3 linked regions of the Ovis aries genome follow. The protein of the gene in region 1 purifies or fractionates together with the protein of each later gene. This does not show direct contact. Links are inferred from orthologs where the notes say so. Each region holds a gene or a part of one and is shown in the gene's direction. Other genes may lie near its edges.

Region 1 (2,912 bases):
GAAGTATCTAATTTCTCTCTATTGGAGATTTTAGAATGTTTTATTGTTGTATAATTCCATCGTGGTAAGAGAACATATTCTATAAGATGTCAGTCTTTCAAATTTTGTTGAGCCTTATTTTATGACCCAGTATCTGTTCTGTCTTGGCACATGTTCCTGCACACCAGTAAGAGTGTATATTTTGCAGCTGTTGGGTAAAGGGTGATGTATCTGATTGCTTTTTATGTTTTATCTCCTTTGGTAATTAATAATGCTTATCACACAGTAGAAGTGTTAAGTAAAAACTGATCCTAAATTTTAACTCTGTGAAATAGTGTTAGCTAAGAGAGTAATGGTGTTCGTCACTGAATGCACAACTTAAATAATCAGTTATCTTGTTACATTCTGAATCTGGTTTTGCTATAATGGGGTCTTAAGAGTGGTAAACTAATAGTGTGAATTATCATGGTCAATTTTGCCTATAGATAATTTTTTCAGGCCAGAGATTTTTGAGCAAAATCATTTTGTTTCAATTTCATTGTGACTTGTAAAAGAATTAAAGTACCAAATAAATTATATGTCATTTTTGGCAAAAGATAAAATAATACTTGTTTGATAAGGAAAAATTTAGGATTAGATACTCATGTGAATCTATGTAAGATGTGCAGCTTAATAACATTTACATTTCAAATCTAGTAACACAAAGTTTAGATTCTCTTTTGAGTTCTAGAATGTTCTTTCAGTAACCTTGAGCTTTGGGTAAACATAAGTTGTGACCAGAACATCACAGTGTGTTCAGTTACAATGGTGTAGTAGCTTCCTGCTGGGAAACAAAGGATTCTGTGTGCCAGAGCCAGCTGCACAACATTCCAGAATGAAAATTAGAGAGAGCCACACAAGAAACCAACTCAGGACAAGCCAGAGCTATCATATTTTTAGTATGTTTTCCTACTGTTATAAAAGTTTGACTGGTTGAATGGTATAAATTGCTTGATACTGTGGGTCCAGTATATTTTGTATGTATGGCCTCTGTGGCTGAGACATTGGACATTTAATTAGTTCTCTTCATTGACGGGGTGCTTTGGAGGCAGTTTCACTTTCTTGGACACCTGTGCTTGATCATCAGGGGTTCTGGATAAGTTTTGCATATAACCTTGCCATCTGCTTATCTGTGAAAACATTTGCTTCCTTTACATATTAAAGTAGCCTGCTTCTATTTGGCTTCCCAAACTCTTAGGATACTTGTTTTTGTATCTTAAAGACCTCCTTGGTGTATTGAAATTGTCTATCAACTTAAAGTTTTAAACTATTTCCGAAAAAAACATACTTATTAAAATCTTGGTTTTCCAGCCTGTTTTCATAAAAAAAAAGATACCCATTCTATTGATCCTTTTCTCATGGTTTTACTCTTTTAAACTCCACAATAGAAAAGGCAGAGGCTCTTTGTAAGAGCCAGAATAGGTGGTATTTAGGGTCCTGCCAGAAAAGTTCACTCTGTTACAGAAGACGTTTTAGGAGGAGGTTATGATGACCTAAAATGTTTGAAAATGAGCGTCTGTAGAGAATTCAGAGTTAATAGTCTGTGCTCTTGAAGCCTCTTGTGGATAAGACAGAAACACATAAAACCTACAGAGCAGTATAAACAGGCTATGAAAAGAAAGTGAAAGTCACTCAGTTGTGTCTGACTCTTCACCACTGCATGGACTACCACATAGTCCATGGCATTCTCCAGGCCAGAATACTGGAGTGGGCAGCTTTTCCCTTCTCGAGGGGATCTTCCCAACCCAGGGATCAAACCCAGTCTCCCACATTGCAGGCAGATTCTTAACCAGCTGAGCCACAAGGGAAGCCCATAAATAGGTTATATACGTTATACTGAGTCACAAATGATTTGCAGTGAGTGTGCTGAAGAGGCCAAAGCAAAGGGAATCTCTGTGGACATGACAGGGTTCGGGAGGAGCTCTGAAGTTGAGTATTTTGAGAGACGGAAGGAAAGCAGTATGTTAAGGCCATTTCTTGTTTTTCACCCATCTCTGACTCATTGTGAAGTTTGGGATGGTTTACCTCATAGTTTTTCATCTTTTCTTTGCAGCCTGAAGAGTTGAGAGAAATCATTGAGAAGACTAGAGAGATGGAGCAGAACAATGGCCACTACTTTGACACAGCAATTGTGAACTCAGATCTTGATAAAGCCTATCAGGAACTGCTTAGGTTGATTAACAAACTTGACACTGAACCTCAGTGGGTGCCATCCACTTGGCTGAGGTGAAAAAAAGCATTCGTTCTGTAGCAGGACTGGACTTGACCTGGCAGACTGCCCATAGGAAGATAGCCCTGATACTTGAGCACGTCTCTGAGAAGGTGGCAGGCAGTGTAAACTGTAGACATGTTCTTAGATCTTGAATTAGTGAGAAGAAAATCCCCTTAAGCAATTTGTTAACAGCAGTCTTTATTCTCTCTGTATCTGGCTTTAGAGGTTCTTGCCTCAGATGGGGATTTTAAATGGAAGTTTTCAACAGAGCCGTTCTAGTTTATCCATGGTAAAAGCCTTTTAATTCTGTTTTCATCTAACCAAATCTTTCCTGCCTAGTCATATTTCCACAAAAACGTGTATATATACACAATGGTCCGTATTTCACACTGCAGTAAATATTGATGTTATTTAACAGTTAATTTAAATGATTTCATGAGAATTTGGGAGTGAGGGGGAACTGTGCTGTGCACTGGGCAAGACAACAGTATTTGGTTAGAAGACTGGTTTAGTCATCAGAACTACTTTACTTTTTTAAAAAATGGTGCCACTTTGGTCTGGAGCTACTCTGTTAGCCTTGAATTCACTTATATGTCTTTTAATTCTTAAAAACATTCCATTAGAAGCACCAATTTTTTAGCTCAAACTTCGTGGATCAGACTTCACTGCATACTGATCTAAA
Region 2 (3,655 bases), on another chromosome or scaffold:
TGGCCAAGGTCTCAAGCCTCCGAGCTCTACCAGGGCCTTCAAAGTGTTAGTTGCTCAGTCGCTTACGACTATTTGCGATCCCATAGACTGTAGCCAGCCAGGCTCCTCTGTCCATGGGATTTCCCAGGCAAGAATAATGGAGTGGGTTGCCATTCCCTTCTCCAGGGCACCTTCCTGACCCAGGGATCAAACCTGAGTCTCCTGCATTTTAGGCTGATTCTTTACTGTCCGAACCACCAGGGAAGCCACCAGGGTATTAGAGATGTGCAAGGCAGCAGGAACCTTCTGGAAGCCAAAGGCTGGGCCCTTGGTACCGTCCCCAAGGGCTGAGGAAAGCCAAACTACCCTTCCTTGCTCCTGACATCCAGAAGCAAGAATCCTCAGGGAAAATGTCTGTGGTTGAGCTCACCTGTTTTCCAGAGTTAGCGCTAGTAGGAGACTGTGGCCCCGATCGCCAGTGCTGTCTGTTTTCCTAGTAGGCAAGCAGTACAGACTCCCAGCTCTGGTCAGGCCCTGCCCACCCTGGGCATCTGGCCATGAGTCCTGAGGCCTGGTTCTCCCAAGCCGAGTCCCCTTTGGGCAGTTTCTTCTCACCCGAACCTCAGATTCTGAGGCTGTAAGATGGGACCATCTAAGACTGGGATGAGCTGCCAGCCTCCGGCTAACTCTATAAGCTGTCCATCTCTGTGAAGCCTCCCAGGACAGGGCCATTGTCTCTGGGCCCAAAGTCCCAGTCAGCACTCCTGCCTGCCCCCTCCACCCAATTCAGGTGTCAGGCCAGCTCAGGATGAGAGGCCCAGTGTTACTGAGTTTCGCCAACTTTTCCCTTCACCCCAAAGAATGAGGTGGGCCTGGGCCCAGCCTTCAAAAATTCAGAGTGAACCAGAGCTGACCTGGGTGGCCTGTGTCCTCTTTCTCTGCCCCAGGGCCTTGTGTAATTCTCTTCTGTTCCAGAGTCTATACTGTCCTATCTGATAGGTATTTAGCCACACGTGGCCCAAAGATTAAAATTAATTAAAATGAAATAAAATGAAAAATTTGATTCCTCCCTGGCACTATTGCAAGTGCTCACTGGCCACATGTGCCTAGTGGCTGCTGCCCTGCTTGGCACAGCGTAGAGCAAGTCCATTACAGCAGAAAATTCCACTCTGCTGTGACAGTGCTGCTCTAGAGATGGTGCCTTTGGGTCCATCAGGCAGGCCCCATGACAGGTCCCCCTCTGCCTTCCAGCAGGGCAGGCAGCCTGCACACTAGGGGTGGGGTGGGGTGCCTGGTTTCACAGAATAAGCTCTGAGGCCTCTTGAGTACGAGGGCCTCACGCCATACCCAAGCAGCCTGGTTCTTCAGAGGCAGGCTAACTTTGATCCCCACCTGGTAGCACCATTCACCTCCTATGATTCTTCCTCTTGAAGGTAGGGATCCCAGATCCCAGACTGTCATTGGAGGCTTCAGGGGAATAAGATGTGTAGATGCCTGACTCCTGGGGCAGCACACGGTGCTTCTCCCACTTGGATGATGACCACGTGACAGTCCACCTGAGCCTCCGTTTTCTCATCTGGAGATGGGCATCGCGGTTCCTGCCTGCCCAGTCTCTGGTATCACCATGAGGCTGGAGGGAAGTTGTGAATGTGTTTTGGAGGTGTGACACCCAGCACAGGTGGACAGTGTCTCTCGCTCTCTCCTGGCAAGGCCACGTCCCAGCAGAGAAGCAGTGTGGCCCAGTTATCACTGCAAGGGTCCTGGTCTGACATTCCCATTTGCTCAGGCCTTAACCTAAACTTCAGTTTCCTGGCCCATACAATGGGGTTAATAAGGGTACCTAACTCCTGTGTTACTGAGAAGATGCAGTCAAGCTTGAGCAGCGGTCAGCACAGAGCATGGCACCTGTGGGTGCTCTGTGGGGCAGCGAGGGAGCTGCCGCCCCTGACCGGGCCCCTCCCTCTCTCGCTGCAGGCTATGAGCAGCAGCAGGAGCAGGAGCAGCTAGAGCGGGAGATGGCACTGCTGCGCGGAGCCATTGAGGACCAGCGGCGGCGGGCCGAGCTGCTGGAGCAGGCCCTGAGCAACGCACAGGGTCGGGCGGCAAGAGCTGAGGAGGAGCTACGGAGAAAGCAGGCCTACGTGGAGAAGGTGGAGCGGCTACAGCAGGCCCTGGGGCAGCTGCAGGCTGCCTGCGAGAAGCGTGAGCAGCTGGAGCTACGTCTGCGGACGCGCCTGGAGCAGGAACTCAAGGCCCTTCGTGCACAGCAGGTGAGCTGGGAAGACCCCAGGAGCCCCTGTTGAGATCCAGGCCGAGCCCTCTTGGAAAGTTAGGACCACCTGGGCCAACCTTACGGAAGTCCCCTCCTGGCCCATCAGTCTCAGCAGAAGCCTTGCCCCTTGACCGTGTGCCGACCTCAGGGACTCGAGCCTTGGGCCTCTATCCTCAGCAGCAGCTGGGATTGGCACCCTTGGTCTCTGGAGAAAGTCTCTCAGGAGCTGTGATGGAGGGGACTGCTGCTGCTGCTGCGTCACTTCAGTTGTGTTCAACTCTGTGCGACCCCATAGACGGCAGCCCACCAGGCTCCCCCGTCCCTGGGATTCTCCAGGCAAGAACACTGGAGTGGGTTGCCATTTCCTTCTCCAATGCATGAAAGTGAGGTCGCTCAGTTGTGTCCAACTCTTAGCGACCCCGTGGACTGCAGCCTATCAGGCTCCTCTGTCCATGGGATTTTCCAGGCAAGAGTGCTGGAGTGGGGACTAGCCAGCTCTTATATGTCTCCCCAAGATCGGAGGTGGGGAAGATAGTCACCCAGATCCTGGGCCTTTATCCTCACTTTGGACTGTGTAAATCGCTCTCGTGTTTATAGACCAGATAGAGTCCTGTCTCCACTCCTAGCCTCACCCTTCCCACAGAGGCAGGGTGACCAGAGCTCCTGGATTGCCGGGGTCTGTCCTGTTTACACCAGTTTTCCCATGTCATTAAGTCACCCCTTCCCCAGTTTGGAGGACAGTGTATATGGTCACTATGCAAAAGCAAACCCAATCTCCTCTGCACCTTTGGCCACAGGCTCTGGGGCAAGGCTGTGGGGCCCTGTGGCTCCCCTCTGTCTCCAGCTGGAAGGAGGCTGGGCAGAGTGCGTGGTGCCAGCTGACCAAGCACTGGCCTCAGGTTCCTCACGTGGCCGTGAGGACCTGCAGCCAACACACCCCACCCTCCACCCCTGACCACGGTACCCCTCTCTCTGCAGAGACAGGCAGGCCCCCCCGGAGGTGGCGGTGGCAGTGGTGGGACCCCGGAGCTCAGTGCGCTGCGGCTGTCGGAGCAGTTGCGGGAGAAGGAGGAACAGGTGCTGGCGCTGGAAGCTGACATGACCAAGTGGGAACAGAAGTACTTGGAGGAACGTGCCATGAGGCAGTTCGCCATGGATGCGGCCGCCACGGCTGCCGCCCAGCGCGACACCACTCTCATCCGGCACTCGCCCCAGCCCTCGCCCAGCAGCAGCTTCAACGAGGGCCTGCTCACCGGCGGCCACAGGCATCAGGAGATGGAAAGCAGGTTGGACACTGCAGGCCTGGTACCTGGGACAGGGGGTAGGGGTAGGGTGGGATTTGTCCAGCCCTTGCCTGGGCCTTAGGTCTTCCCTGGTAGCTCAGACGGGTAAGAGTCTGCCTGC
Region 3 (3,655 bases), on another chromosome or scaffold:
GTTTTGTTTTGCAATTTTTATTCACAGGGATTTAGAGATGAGCCCTATTTTAAAGAAGAGCTTGTGGATGAACCGTTTCTAAATTTGGGAAAGGCTTTCCAGTCCCAACAAAAAGAGATAGACAATAGCAAGGAGACCTGGGAAATGCATGAATTCATGGTCCCTAGGCTGCAGGAGATGGGTGAAGAAAGAGAAATGCTTGTTGATGAAGAATATGAGCTCTATCAAGACCAACTTCAGTCCCTGGAGTCGTATCCCTCATCACACATTCAAGAAGCTGCTCCTGTTCCGTCCATGAAGGAGGTTCACTTTGGTACACAGTGGTTCCCGGATCGTGAACTGCCCGAGCCTCAAGAAGTGGGACGCGTGATGAGCATGTATCCTCAGGACATGCAACAGTGCGGCTGTAACCCGGACGAAATGGTAAGGGATTAGAATGCATTTTCCGTATCCTTCCTGACTCCTCCCCTCCCCATCTCTGTGCATCAATCATGTAACTTTTAAACACACAAACACAATTTAATGGATATTTTCATCACTGAACATTTTTTTCCCAAAATATGTACCATACAATGTGTTGGTTTTAAGTAAAAGCTCATCATTTCTTTATTGTATAACTTCTAGTTGGAGTCAATAAGCTACAGTTGCTTTGCTGTTATGATGTGGTTTTTGTTGTTGTTGTTTTAACCTTGCCTTTTTAGTGATGTTTTCCTCCTGATACCCATTTCAAGGAAGAGTTCTTTCATCATTTGTGATTAAAAAAAAAAATTCCCTCAGGGAGATATAGCTCTGTATTTCTCACATAATGTGTTTGTCAAGAAAAATCAAGGCAAAATTGATTAAAAGATTTGTTATTTCTGTCTTGCCTACCCACACTGTCCTCTGTTTTATATGTAATACTAAATAGGAAGTCACTGAACTCTAGAAAATTATCTTTACATTTGTGATACTGCCTGTGGACAACTTGGCAGGAAAACATTGTATTTACTAGGTTTGCTCTTGCTATTAAATCACCAGTAAACTTATTTTTAAAAATGAAATTAAGGTTAGCTGGCCACCAACTGGAATCTTTTGGTAGGGATGTTTTTAATGTTTTATTTTTGTTTATTTCCTGACCCAAATTAACTTCCAAGCAAATGAAGAGAAAGTTTTCTGTATGGAGTACGTAGCGGTGTGTTCGGAACAGTACGGTACCCTCCTCAGTGAGGTCAGCAACTTCCCTGCAGTGGTGTGCAAAGTGGCCTTTGTTTGTTCCCTCACAGGGCAGATATAGCTGGGTGTTGTCCTTGCCTCCCTTCTACCTTCCTCCCCTTTTCATTTCATTATGGGTCTCTCTGCTATGCGAGATGCTATATTTATGTATTTAAGGAACCCTTGAGGATTACCCTTGGTACTGGACTCTGGGCAGTCTACCAGAGAACAAATGTTTTGGAATTATGTGAATCATGAGGGAAGAGGTGACATAGAATCACCTGGTATGTTGCTGTTCACACTAGTTCTTTCTATCTCCGCCAGTCCCATTCAGTCCCACTCCTGTGTCTGTTAAGTGTTTGACCTCAAACAGAATATTTAGTTATATGGAGCAAATTATGAATATATAAATAAATACTCTTGTTATGTCTGTTTTCTTCTATAAAAATAAATTTTTCCATTTATTCAAATATAAGGCAACCTGAAATATAGTCCCATTTTAATATATAAACCTTTAGAGATATAGATGAATAGTATATTCATAATATTTACTTTATATATTTAGTTAAGTGTCCCTGTTTTAAAAGCTGTAAAATATCAGGTGTTTGCCTGTTCTTGGATTTAATGAGGGAATTTTACTCATATTCCTTCAATGCATATTTAATGTCAGAGTCTGCATTATTACTAGAATCACTTTTTGATCTTCCAATACTGTTTTTCAGCCATACCATCTTCATTTCCATCTATGTTGTTTGAGATATAGTAACTTTTGAATCCATACTATCAGTCAAGTATCATTATTCTCAAGTATCATGACGTAACGTTAGGTTTTAAAAAAATTCCTCTTGTGAGTTTATATTGATGACCCAATCAATCCACAGTGTAGCCACTTCCTCTATTATTTATCAAGCTCATTATAAAGCTTGTTTTAACAACATTCAGTGCTCACAGTTTGAACGATACACATCCTAGTTACTAACTTTGTTAAACTTCCCAGCTTTCTGATTCTGCTAGGTAACCTTTAGGAAACTACAGGCTCCTTAAACTGGCATTGATTAAGATTGTTTTAATCCTACCTAACAGTACCTAACAGTACCTAATCTTACCTAACAGATTGTCTTACCTAAACAGTATTTCTTTCTTTAAGTAATTATATGTTCCTGCTTTTGGGCATTAACTCTCTCTTTTAAATTGAAGTATAGTTGATTTGCAGTATTGTGTTAATTACTGCTGTACAGCAAGATGATTCAGTTATACATACATTGCTGTTCAGTGGCTAAGTTGTGTCTGACTCTTTGTGACCCCATAGACCGCAGCATGCCAGGCTTCCTTGTCACATTTTTACCTGTTCCATTATGGTTTATCATAAGATATTAAATATAGTTCTCTGTGTTATACAGTAGGATCTTGTTTATCCATTCATCTATAAAAGCTTATATCTACTGACTGCAACCAGGAGGAGGGCCATCTCTTCCCCAACTCCATTCCCATTGGCAACCACCATTTGTTCTTTATTTCCATGGTTCTGTTTCTGTGTCATAGATAGGTTCATTGGTGTCATATTTTAGATTTCATGTAAGTGATACCATATGGTGTTTACTTAGTATGATAATTGCTAGTTGCATCCATGTTGCTGAAAATGGCATTATTTTGTTCTTTTTTATGACTGAGTAGTATTCCATTGCTTATATCTAAACATCTTCTTTATCCACTCATCTGTCAATGGACATTCAGGCTGTTTCCATGTTTTGGCTATTGTGAATAGTGCTGCTATGAACATGGGGGTGCATGGATCTTTTTGAATTATAGTTTTTCTGGACATATGGGCATTAGCTATTTTCCCCATTTCCCATCCATATTCCCACAGTGATGAGTGTAGGTGAATAAAGAAAAATGTTTTCCTTTACCTTCTTAGGTTCCTTTGGGTAGGGCCCTGGAAGTTAAACTGACGAAAGACAGATTATCAGAAGAAAAACAATTTATTAACACCTGCAGCATGCACACACATAGGAAAAACTCAGTGATAGGTCACTCAAAGGAGGGGTTAGAACGTGGGCTTATGCAGCATCTCAATGAAGGACGGTACATTTGTAGACGAGTGTCAAGATAGAGGGAAAGGGATTCAGGCTTTTAGGCTTAGCTACTGTGTGAAGGTAAACATTATGGGGGAAATTGATGGAACATAAGGGTTGTTTTAGTAATGTTTGTCGTATACATTTCTCTTGGCGTCATCTCTGAGGTGGAAAGAGTCTAGAGTCGTCTTTGGTGATTGAGAACCAGGGGAGGATAGGAAACTTTTCTGTGTCTCTTCTTTTTCTGCAGCTCAGAATAATCTCTCTGCCAAAGTGGCGTATTTCCGGGTGGGATATCCCGATCCTCTGTAACAGTTGTGCCCACATGATCAGGATGGGTTTGGATCTTTATCTGTCTTATTGTCGTTATAGTGGACTCCATGGTGATCATT

The links. The genes of interacting proteins can lie anywhere in the genome.
Region 2: the proteins of PALS1 (region 1) and AMOTL2 purify together in Homo sapiens (affinity purification with mass spectrometry; 3 studies listed by BioGRID and IntAct, counting the BioPlex papers as one, with this or other methods). This does not show direct contact. The link is inferred for Ovis aries from reciprocal best matches to the Homo sapiens genes PALS1 and AMOTL2.
Region 3: the proteins of PALS1 (region 1) and PATJ purify together in Homo sapiens (co-immunoprecipitation; 5 studies listed by BioGRID and IntAct, counting the BioPlex papers as one, with this or other methods). This does not show direct contact. The link is inferred for Ovis aries from reciprocal best matches to the Homo sapiens genes PALS1 and PATJ.

What each region holds. Positions count from the first base shown.
Region 1 is NC_056060.1:77,294,701-77,297,612, forward strand, and holds part of PALS1 (protein PALS1), read left to right. Parts: intron 1-2,071; coding exon 2,072-2,248; 3' UTR 2,249-2,912. UniProt on the Homo sapiens protein: Plays a role in tight junction biogenesis and in the establishment of cell polarity in epithelial cells.
Region 2 is NC_056054.1:255,615,103-255,618,757, forward strand, and holds part of AMOTL2 (angiomotin-like protein 2), read left to right. Parts: intron 1-1,953; coding exon 1,954-2,249; intron 2,250-3,229; coding exon 3,230-3,537; intron 3,538-3,655. UniProt on the Homo sapiens protein: Regulates the translocation of phosphorylated SRC to peripheral cell-matrix adhesion sites. Required for proper architecture of actin filaments.
Region 3 is NC_056054.1:37,092,623-37,096,277, forward strand, and holds part of PATJ (inaD-like protein), read left to right. Parts: intron 1-27; coding exon 28-423; intron 424-3,655.